Linked DNA regions of Ovis aries. The protein of the gene in region 1 interacts with the protein of each later gene in a biochemical or structural test. Links are inferred from orthologs where the notes say so. Each region holds a gene or a part of one and is shown in the gene's direction. Other genes may lie near its edges. The genes, in order: TBP, DRAP1 and AHR.

Evidence for each region.
Region 2: the proteins of TBP (region 1) and DRAP1 are reported together in a solved structure, tested with the Homo sapiens proteins (2 studies listed by BioGRID, with this or other methods). The link is inferred for Ovis aries from reciprocal best matches to the Homo sapiens genes TBP and DRAP1.
Region 3: the proteins of TBP (region 1) and AHR form a complex in vitro, tested with the Homo sapiens proteins (2 studies listed by BioGRID). The link is inferred for Ovis aries from reciprocal best matches to the Homo sapiens genes TBP and AHR.

Annotation. Positions count from the first base shown.
Region 1 is NC_056061.1:91,748,248-91,751,894, forward strand, and holds part of TBP (TATA-box-binding protein), read left to right. Parts: coding exon 1-44; intron 45-740; coding exon 741-908; intron 909-2,279; coding exon 2,280-2,374; intron 2,375-3,056; coding exon 3,057-3,136; 3' UTR 3,137-3,647. UniProt on the Homo sapiens protein: The TFIID basal transcription factor complex plays a major role in the initiation of RNA polymerase II (Pol II)-dependent transcription.
Region 2 is NC_056074.1:40,464,007-40,467,640, forward strand, and holds DRAP1 (dr1-associated corepressor), read left to right. Parts: upstream 1-979; 5' UTR 980-1,111; coding exon 1,112-1,153; intron 1,154-1,396; coding exon 1,397-1,469; intron 1,470-1,577; coding exon 1,578-1,671; intron 1,672-1,943; coding exon 1,944-2,063; intron 2,064-2,183; coding exon 2,184-2,277; intron 2,278-2,485; coding exon 2,486-2,574; intron 2,575-2,904; coding exon 2,905-3,010; 3' UTR 3,011-3,122; downstream 3,123-3,634. Other genes in the region: C21H11orf68 (UPF0696 protein C11orf68 homolog), read right to left, coding at 587-708. UniProt on the Homo sapiens protein: The association of the DR1/DRAP1 heterodimer with TBP results in a functional repression of both activated and basal transcription of class II genes.
Region 3 is NC_056057.1:26,779,384-26,783,130, forward strand, and holds the start of AHR (aryl hydrocarbon receptor), read left to right. Parts: upstream 1-1,326; 5' UTR 1,327-1,938; coding exon 1,939-2,003; intron 2,004-3,747. UniProt on the Homo sapiens protein: Ligand-activated transcription factor that enables cells to adapt to changing conditions by sensing compounds from the environment, diet, microbiome and cellular metabolism, and which plays important roles in development, immunity and cancer.

The DNA of each region.
Region 1 (3,647 bases):
CTGATATTCAGCTCTGGGAAGATGGTGTGCACGGGAGCCAAGAGGTGGGTTAGAGGAGCTCCTTGTCCAGGCCTGCATGTTACAGAGACGGCTGTGCCATGGCATCTAGGGCTAGGCTGCTGCTTTAATGCAGACACAGTGTTACTGTTGCTTTCGTATTAAAGTAGTTGATTCTCATCACCTTAGACAGTGGCGGCTTCATTTTCTTAACAATAGGCGTTAGTTTAGGACGTGTGTTCCAACCTTATTTCTGTGTAACTCAGCGTGTGTACGTGCCAGACTTTCGGCATTCGTGACTGTGCACTTGATAGCCTTTTGTCAACAATGATGCTACGGCTTTCATTCTGCTTTTGTTACAGAAGCCCTGCACTGCTAAGTCATATTTTATCCAACAAGTCAGTTCTAGGAATGGATAAAGAAGGACATACCATAAAAGAGGAATTAGTGTATACATTCTTTGAGCATAAATCTCATCAGTATTTTCCTATCAAAGTGACGCTTGTTGGTTTTTATCTTAGTACAAATTTGTGGGCTTAAATACAGCAATATTCATGATAATGGTGATGCTGATATTATACTTCATATCCATGAAATCTGGGGCTATCAATAATTTGGTGACTTGAAAGGTACTCGTTTTGGTAGGCCTGCAGTTTTCTGTCAAGGACGTGGGAAAGTTTCTCTCGTCTAAATAATTGCGTCAGCTGTCTTTGAGAATGAATAGCTCGCTTTTTCTTCCCTAGTGAAGAACAGTCTAGACTAGCAGCAAGAAAGTATGCCAGAGTTGTACAGAAGTTGGGCTTTCCAGCTAAGTTCCTGGACTTCAAGATTCAGAACATGGTGGGGAGCTGTGATGTGAAGTTCCCTATAAGGTTAGAAGGCCTTGTGCTAACCCACCAACAATTCAGTAGGTAAGTCTGAAATACATGGGGTGGTTGCTTTTGTCAACAATTTAAAGTTATGATCTATTTAAACATTGTTCATGGTAAAACTTAAGCAGAATAATCAGTTCAGTTCAGTTCAGTCGCTCAGTCGTATCCGACTCTTTGCGACCCCGTGAATTGCAGCATGCCAGGCCTCCCTGTCCAACTCCCGGAGTCCACTCAGACTCACGTCCATCAAGTCGGTGATGCCATCCAGCCATCTCATCCTCTGTCGTCCCCTTCTCCTCCTGCCCCCAATCCCTCCCAGCATCAGAGTCTTTTCCATTGAATAATTAGTAAGAACAAATGATACACTGATAGGTACATTTATTGCTGAAGTGTCTTCCCGATTTCTTTGGTAGTACCTACTGTGCTCACCAGCCTCCTACTTCTCTATCTTGTAACTCAGTGACACCCAGAACTCCCCTTTACTGGCATGAAATTGATTCCCTTCTGTATGTTTCATCATTTTATTGCTCAATAAATACATTTTAAATGAACAAATGAAACCCACAACCTCTTGTATCAGTTTTCCCCCCAGTTGTTTGAGTCTTTTGTTCTACTTCCTGAAGAAGACTTCAAAGGCAGGTGGTCCTTGATCACCTCTCACAGCCTGTCTGCTCACAGCAGCCCCATGGCTTATCATGTCCCTCTTGCACCAGGACCCTTGCACATCCCACTTTTATCCCTGGCACACTCTTCTGTCACTTTTTACCTAAGAAACTCCCACTGGCATTTCATGTATCCATCCCAGCGTCTCCCTTCCTCAGAGAAGCCTGCCTTGAATTTTCCAGTAAGTTAAACACGGTCATACATCCTGTTTTCCATCTAACAAAGTGAGATTACTAGGGTTAGAACAAAATCGTACCAATAGTGCATTTAATCAGATAAAACAGGGCAAGGTTCAGTCTCCAACCAGTGTCTTTTCTGGCACTTTGGTTAAATTGCCTGAGCAAACGTAGCAGCTAGAAGATATTTCACTTTAAGGAGATGCGATGTGAATGATTAGAAAATCAACTGTGTGACTGGCAGATCTTATAGATGGATAATTACTGGGCTCTTTTAAGTTGATATAAACTTGTCCAGAATGAAACTTGATAAAAGATCAGAGACTACAGAACACATTTATAAAACTCTTGTTCTTATGTCAGGAAATCCAGATTCATTAGAAACAGAATTAGTTGGTCTTCAAGTGCTAGTGACAGGTCAGCCTCACTGGCCAAATGCTGCTTGCAGAACTGGGCTTCACCCCCTCCTTAGTTTGTGGCTAGCCCAGTGCTTTCCCTTGGTCAGGTCCTCGTGTTTTCTAAAGGCATGAGCAGCTGCTAATCCAAACTGTTGTTGCTATTTTCCTTCTAGTTATGAGCCGGAGTTATTTCCTGGTTTAATCTACAGAATGATCAAACCGAGAATTGTTCTCCTTATTTTTGTTTCTGGAAAAGTTGTATTAACAGGTAAGTTGTAACAGAAAGTAGTGGTTGAAGTTTTGAAAGTGTCGAGAGTGGCATTTTCTCAGTACTTGGAAGTAATATCACAGTGTTGGGACAGCTAATTAGTGACTTGCAGAGAAGCTTTGCCGCTTTTCTCTCTTCCTCAACACTGACGGGGAACATCCACCAGAGGTGGTGAGCTGAGGAAAGTCAGATCACAGCCTTGCTGACGGAAGCATCACCTTGGCGGGGAGGGGTGGAGGTGAGCATTACATTGCATAATAGATGGTGTTTTAAGTTGGGTACCATCGTCTAAGACTTTGGTTTCCCTCAGCATTATCATTTTGCCTCAACAAAAGAAGATGCAAAAAGGCTTGGCTGAAAGCGGCAGTTGAGAGAATGGACCTCTGTCACTGCCAACCGCTGCCCTGCTGGGCCCTGCCCTGGTGCAGAGACAGCAGCTGCCATGTGGGCAGACTAGGCATGGGAGGTGCAGTCATCTGTCTTGTTGCTTTGGTAATTCTTTTTTCAAAAAGCCAAATTAAGAAAATGCCACTTTAAAAACAAAAATATGATGGTGGCAAGGGATCCCATTGTGAATGTTTTGATGCCTGCATCTGTCTTACTGGACATGGAGAGAATTGTGCCTTTGTGGTTTTGTTAAGAAACGCCATTTCAGACTCTTGTACTCCACTTGTCTTCGTAGGTGCTAAAGTCAGAGCAGAAATTTATGAAGCCTTTGAGAACATCTACCCTATTCTGAAGGGCTTCAGGAAGACGACGTAATGGCTGCTGTGTTCTCCTGCCTCCCCCACCCACCTTTTCCTTTAAACCAGTCGGTTTTGGTTCACTCGGTGGTGTGGGCGGCCCCACGTGGTAGAGGATGGGCGTCTGGTTGCAGGGTGCAGCACCAGGTGGAGCTCTTCCACGCGTGCCCCCATGGGGTGCCGGAGGGGTGGTGTTTCTGCACAGAGAACACCAGAGCGTCCCTGTAAGTGGCTCAAACTGTGCTGCTACACGGGCAGTGCTGCCTGTTATTTATATTTAGATTTTAAACACTTACTGCTGTTGACAAGTTGGTTTAAGGGACAAAACTAAGTGTTAAAGCCACCTCAACAATTGATTGGACTTTATTTTGTTTAATTTCTTCCCCATAAACCACAGTTTTTATATTTCTACCAGAAAAGTAAAACTCTTTTTTAAAAGTGTTGTTTTCTAATTTGTAACTCCTGAGGGTTATTTTTGTGCCAGACACATTCCGCCTTTTCAGTATTGCAGGACAGAATAGAAATGTATT
Region 2 (3,634 bases), on another chromosome or scaffold:
CGGTGTGGGCCTGGGCCTCGGCTGCCGCGTCTCCACAATGGATAACAACTTGTTACTGCCTCAAGCAGTTGTGCAGAATTAACCGCCTGAGGTGGAACAAAAGCTATATAAATGTAGTTAGTGTTATTACTGCTCTCCTTGACCTACAAACGAGGAAACCGAAGCTCAGAGAGAAGGGGCTCACTGCAGGTCACACCTTCAGTGAGTGATAGGGCCGAAACGGCAATTCAAATGCGGGAACCGCCGGCCCAGCTACGCCTCCTGGCCCTGCCAGAGCCTGGCCGCTCTCCCGGGCGCTGGGATTTAATGGAGGGAGGCAAAGCACACGTCCTCGCCGCACCGAGGCAGGGCCCATGGGGCCAGGCCTCCGGGCGAGCGTTATCCAACCTACTTAAAGACGAGGGCACTGAGGCGAGAAACGGGCAGTGTCCGATCCGAGACCAACGGGGCGGTGCCTGGACTCGAACCCCGGCTGGATAGAGGCTGCAGGAGAGCCTGCCTCCCGCCCCGCCGCGCCCGCCGCCATTAGTGCCCACGGCCCGAGCTGCGCCCCCGTCCTGCCCCCTCCCGCCAACCCCAGCGTCACCTCCGGCCTTCGCTGCGCTCGGCGCCGGGCCAGCCCCGGGCCCGGCTCCGTTCCTGCCGGGGATCTGCGCCGCTGCCACCGCCGCGCCCCGCCCCCGCCACGGCTGCCGCCGCCGCCGCCATCTTAGTACCCCGGCGCCTCAACAAGAACTTTATAGACAAACGCAGCACAGGGCGGGGCCGGGAAGGGGCGGGGCCATGGGGGCGGGGCCATCAGGGAAGGCGAGGAGGGGCGGGCCTTGGGGGGCGGAGCTAACGTTCGCTCTTCAGGTCTTGGGGGCGGGCGGGAGTGGCGGTTCCGCCCCGGACGGACGCGCAAAGCCCGGGAGGCTCTAAGGGGGAGGGCGCTCGGGCCCTGCCGGCGGCGTCCTGACCGGCGGCGCTAGGACCCTGTAGGAAGCGTTGGGGGCGGAGCCGGCGGCACCAGGACCCGGGGGAACCGCGGCGGACGGGCTAAGAGCAGGCCCGGGTGCCGGGAGGCTGCGGGCGGCGGCGCTGGGTCCGGCGCGGCGGGAGAGGCCCCGAGATGCCGAGCAAGAAGAAGAAGTACAACGCGCGGTTCCCGCCGGTGAGCACGTGAGCGGGCCCCAGAGGAACGGGCCGGGCTCTCGGGAAGCTCCGGCCCAGGCCGGACTAGGGAGGCGGGCGCATCGCCGTGTTCGGGGCCCCGTACGCCCCGCCCCCTTCCGTGCCCTTCCAGCGTGGGTGCCCCCCGCCCCCTTTCTCCCGGGATGCTCCCTCTCTCTGCCCGGCTTAAGCACCCTTTCTGGGACGGAGGCTACGGGGTCCGAGCTGTCTGCCCCCTCCCCAGGCACGAATCAAGAAGATCATGCAGACGGATGAAGAGATTGGGAAGGTGGCGGCGGCCGTGCCTGTCATCATCTGTATCCTGTCGGGAGCTGTCGGGATGGGGGAGTGGGGGAGCCCGGCAGCCCCGGGGTCGCTTTTTGTGGACTGGGCCACCACCCTGCGTTCTCCTTGACCCTCCTCAGCTCGGGCGCTCGAGCTTTTCTTGGAGTCTCTGTTGAAGAAAGCATGCCAAGTTACCCAGTCCCGAAACGCCAAGACCATGACTACATCCCACCTGTGAGTGGCTCCGATCCTAGAGGGCCCAGTTGGGGGTCTTCCTCCAGTTCACACGCCTGGGGGAGGCTGTGCCCTGATAAGGAATTGGTAGGCTGCTGTGAGATCTGTGGATTTGAGGAGGAGGATTAGGATGTTCTGGCCAAGGGGGAGGGTTGGGGTGGAAATTTTCCAGGTTCCATTCCCCTGACATCCACAGAGTCCGTACTGTCCCTTGTTGAGGGCCCAGATGTCTGGGCCTCATCCGAGTGCCAACCCCTTCCCACTTCTTCCAGGAAACAGTGCATTGAGCTGGAGCAGCAGTTTGACTTCTTGAAGGACCTGGTGGCATCTGTGCCTGACATGCAGGGGGATGGAGAAGACAACCACATGGATGGGGACAAGGGTCCCCGCAGGTAGGGTGCCAGGGACCAGTGTCCAGGTGGGGAAGGCCAAGGCCCCTGGACTTGGGGATGGCTGGGGAGTGGTGAAGGAGTGGGGAGACCTGTGGGCAGATGTACTGTACCTTCCCGAAGGGGCCGGAAGCCAGGCAGCAGTGGCCGGAAGAACGGTGGGATGGGAAGCAAAGGCAAGGACAAGAAGCTGTCAGGGACGGACTCAGAGCAGGAGGTGAGTGAGGCCCTAGGCTTCTGGCCCATAGGGTGGACAGGGCAGCCCTATACCAGGCCAGGATGAGCTGGCTGGGGGCCTGGTCCCTCACCTGTGACCTTTGTATTGGTTTCTTTGTAAATTGGGGTTAGTGAGGTCAGCCTCCTGTCCCTGCTTTCCAGTGATGGGGCCCTGCCCTTCTAGTCTCTAAGTCCTGCCTTGTTCTCAGGATGAGTCTGAGGATACAGACAGTGACGGAGAAGAGGAGACACCACAGGTCCCACCCCAGGCCAGCCACCCCCCTGCCCACTTTCAGAGGTAAGTGGCACCAAGGGGCCCACTGACCCCAAGACTGACTCTGGCCTCCCTCCTGGCCTCCCTAGCCACTTGGTTTTGTTGGTCATGGCAGACTGGGGGGATGGTAGGGGAAGAACTAAGAAGGACTTCAAGGCTGGGGACTGTACTCTCAGAAGGTCCTCTTCTGCTAGGTGGGGCTGTGTGACCTGCCCTGGGTCCTTCCGTTCTCTGGGCTTGCTCCCTGTTGGTACAGAGGGTAGTGGGCTCCGGGGATGCCCAGGTGGGGCTGAGTGGGTGGGGATGGGCACCAGAGAGTGGCCTGATCTTTCTTTACTGCTTTCTCCCCTGCAGCCCCCCGACACCCTTCATGCCCTTCACCTCGACCCTGCCTCTGCCCCCAGCACCCCCGGGCCCCTCAGCACCTGACGCAGAGGAAGAAGAGGATTATGACTCCTAGCGCCCTCTGCCCCCCAGGCCACACCCCCTTTAGTTTGTTTTAGTTGCTCTGGGGGGAAGAGAGACCATAGAGCTGTTCTTAAATTTATTAATAAAATAATAACAAAAGGGAACACTCACGTCTGTCCCGGTTTTTGTCCAGGGTTTGTGGCCTCCTTCTCTCCTTCCACCTCCTTCCTGATGCTGAGCTGGGACCCAGAGCCCCGGGGGGCTGGGCAGCAGCTGACTGAAGAGGGGGGGCTGGAGGCCACAGTTCTGCCAGCGCAGGGCCAGGGGTGCCAATGGAAGGAAGGCCGGTCAGAGCGGCAGAGGGTCTGAGCCAGCTGGTGCCGGTCATGCTGGGGGACAGCCTGTCTCATGGTGCTGTGTGTCCGTGGGTAGGTTCCTCTTCTCTGAATGACTTCTTCTTGGCTCTCTGATGTAGACCATTCTGTTCACTCTGGGTTGCTGCAAAGGGACAGGTAACAGAAATGAGTCTGGGAAACTAGAGCTTGGGCCACTTGCCTTAAAGGACATGAGGAGGGGCAGTGGGGGCAGAGGTAGGTGGTGTGGTGGGGGCCCCATGAAGGCTGGCTGGTGAGCAGGCAGTGACTCTGAGCAGACCCTGGAGCTATGCGCACGAGGC
Region 3 (3,747 bases), on another chromosome or scaffold:
TCAAATGATAAAGCATTTGAGTTGGGCATTTTTTGTGTTATTATTGAAGAATAACGTGGCAGAAGATGAATTAGGGATGTTGCAATACACAAAATTAAATAGTATTTGTTGGAATATTTAGATGTAAGTTGTAGAAGAGTTGAAGATATTTCATAGGGTTGATAGGATAATGGTTGAGTATATGACAGTGAGGTTTCAGCTAAAGAAAACAATGTTCAATTTATTGATGTTCTGAATGTGAGGTAACAAACTCACCGGATGGAAATGGCTTGATGACATTTTGAAATGTAGGAATGGACATGGTGCCAGATTTCATCTAGACTTCTTAGTCTGATTGCCCTTCTCCTGACAAGCAAAACACACTCCTGTGTTTACTTTTCTGGGTAAAGGCACAGGAGTAGTCAGAAATGTTGGAGGTACTTGAGATTGCTCTCTCTTGTTTGTCTATTTCCTTATTATCTGCTCTTTTTCCCCTCCATCCCACTGTCACTTCCCTGGACTTTCACCTGGACTACTTCAACAACTCTAACTACTCTCTCGGCATCCAGTCTTTTTCTCCTGTAATCCAGCTTGCACTGTCATTTAAAACTTCCAAAACACTAGAATGTCTCTTGCCTGCTGTGGATCATTCAAAGGTTTCCACTGACTGCAGAATAATATGTGGACTCTTGATCAGGCTTTATGATTTGACCCTAGATTCCTGGATTTCACTTCCAGCTTCTCTCTCTCCAGCTATACCAGACTGCTTATTCTCAAATGCCTCCTGCTGCCTGCCTTCCCACCTTCCTGAAATCTGACTGTAGTGTAACAGTTATTCTGCCTGGGGAAAAGATACTATACTGTCTTGTACGGAGACAAAAATCAAACTCAAAACAAAAAGACAAGAAAAATGCCTAGCCTTCAAGTTCAACTGAGATGTGGCCTCCTGAAGCCTTCTCCTCTAGGAAGATTTATAGTTCCACAGGTTATCTGCCAGCTCACTGTAATGCTTAGCCAAAAGTTGGCTGACTCACTGTCTCTTGCAAAGGTGAATTTAAGCTCACTACTTGGCATTTCTTTCCTTGAGGTTGTCTGATTACAAAGACTTTGGCTACACATAATTTGTCGTCACATGTCTTTATGGACTGGAAATGTGTCCACAGATTCCTCCCCTTGACCTCAAGAAGATGGCTACTGGAGAGGGTGGGGGTCATTACGCCTTACGTCATCACGTGCCGGGAGGGTGGGGCCCTCAAGGGAAATATAGCGGAGGGCGGGGCCAAGTAGGATGGGGCGGGGCTACGAGGGGCGGGGCGGGGCTGGAGAGGGGTCGGGGGCGCTTCTGCTATTCAGCCGGTGCAAGCAGCAGCGGGAGGCATCGCAGGGCGAGTCCACTTGACGCTAGGTTCTGAAAGCGTGACTGGGACCACCGGCTCAGACCAGAGGTAGCCGCATAGCCGAGCGGAAGCTGGTGGCACCCGTAGCAGCGGCCGGAGTCCGAGCTCCGCAGGCGGGAAGCACCCGGGATCGGGGAAATCCCGGGAGCAGCGCAGCGCGGCGGCGCCTCCCTCACCCAAGGGGCCGCAGCGACGGTCACGGGGCGCGCCGCCACAGCGAGCGACCCAGGCCGGGATTTCAAACAGACAGCCCAGGCTCCTCCTCCATTCGCGCCGCCTCACCTGCGGGCAGCGCGGCGCCGCCTCAGCTGGTACAGACGGCACCTGCGCCTCCAGCCTCCCCGGTCTCCGCCCCTCGCCCCTCGGCGCCAGGCCCGGGCCGCGCACCTGGACGTGCGGGGCTGCAGAAGCCCTGCGGCTCCTGGGGTGCTGTGTCTCCGCCATCGCCCCGGGAGGGCGCAGGTGGAGCAGCCGCGGTTAAGTGGAACCCCGTCCCAGTTGCCGCCGGGTCCCGGGGACAGGGCCGTCCGCGCCCGGGAGGAGCCGCAGCCAGCCAGGCACCATGAACAGCAGCAGCGCTAACATCACCTACGCCAGTCGTAAGCGGCGGAAGCCGGTGCAGAAAACGTGAGTCTCCGGAGCCTGTCCTCTGTGCTGTGGGGAGGTGGGCGCTCAGGCGCGGGACACTGCCGCACCCCGCCCCCAAATCCCCGAGGCCAGGGGATTAGGTCCCTTCCCTGTGCAGTCTGTGGAATCGAGATCTGGAGGCCGGTCGAGAACCCCAGGCCTTGGATTTTTCCGTGATTAATGATTGCATTTTAAAAATTGTGCCCCCCGTTCTCTGCCCCCCCCCCCGAACCCCTTCTCCAGAGCACCCTTTCACACCTCCAGCCATTTGCAGCGCTGTTCACTGTGCTGTGGTCCTAATTTGTTAACAGCTCTCCTCTGCCCTGTGGGGCTGGTGGATTAGTTAACCTAAGCCCGTCTTGAAATCCCCTTTCACATTTAATATCCTCCTCTGTTAGGTTAGAGGACGGTCACCATTCTTACTCCTGGTAGGGCGAGATGCTTTAAATAGCTAAACACGTGCTGTGTGCAAGAAAGGGGCTGAGTGCCTCTGAAGGTATTTTTTGGTTCCCTGAAACTGGCTTTCTGTTATACTCTTATTTACTTATTTGGCAGTAATTTTGTAGCGCTCAGCGTGAACATATCAATAAAATGTATAGAGGTGATAGCAGCTTTGAGTGAGTGTAGTAGCCAGGATACAGTAGAAGATTTGTATTTTAAGTCATCTTTTGGGGGAGATTTATCACTTTGGAAGTGGTTTTAGGGTCTGCAAATAATTTGGAGATGGAATTATTGAAACAGACATTTTCATTCTTAGCATCATTCTCTTAATTCCCTTTTCCCTCTACTTCAAAGTTTGGTCAATTCTGATAAAGTACAAACTTAGGTTTGTTTGTTTTGGTGGGATATTTATGTGATTATGGCAAATACTTTAATTTTTTTCAGAAAAAAAAAAGAAAAATCCATGCTTAACACAGATTTACTTTTTCGAGTTGGCAATGTTCATGTGTTTATTCCTAATTATTATCCTTGAGTTATTTTACTTCACATTTTTCAAACTTTCATAAACAATTTTAAGAACACTTTAAACGGTTACTCAGAACAAATCACAAGTGTGCATGTGGCTTAAGACTAAATTTAGGTCACTAATCCAAACCAGAAAAATAGCAGTTTAAAATTAATATTAAAGACCAGTTTAAAGGTTTCAGTATTCTGGGGTTTTAATTTCCTTTTAGAATTTCAGTGATTGCAGTCCTTCAGATTTAGACTTGGCATCAACAGAGGATATTCATCTATAAATAGACTGATTAAAATTTGGAAGACTTATCCTGCAGCGTGGTTGACATTAGGAATACTGTCAAGTCAGCAGTTTTTATCTTGGCAATTCTGTTGACATTGGTTTACAATACTTGTGTTTTATAGAATGGTTTCTTATAAAAAATGTGCTTGTCTAATTTGACTTGGTCCTTGATGGTTATTTAAAATTGAAAGGCATCACAGACACCTCTGTGTATTTTAGTTAATACAAAAGTACACTTGACATAATGTATAATATATATATGTATATCATAGGTTTTATTTGTATAGTTAGAAAACCTGAGAATTTTAAGTTATTGCATTTCAGGAAGTATGTTACACAGGACCTAGGTGACTTCAATGAAATGCTCTAATTTTTGTATTCATTTTAAAGTTTAACATTTGGGGCTTCTTGTTACCATTTTATTAAAGATTTTCCCTGTAAATATATTATTGCACATTTTCTTTTTTTTAAGGATGTACCTTTTATTATTAGCAATTAAATATG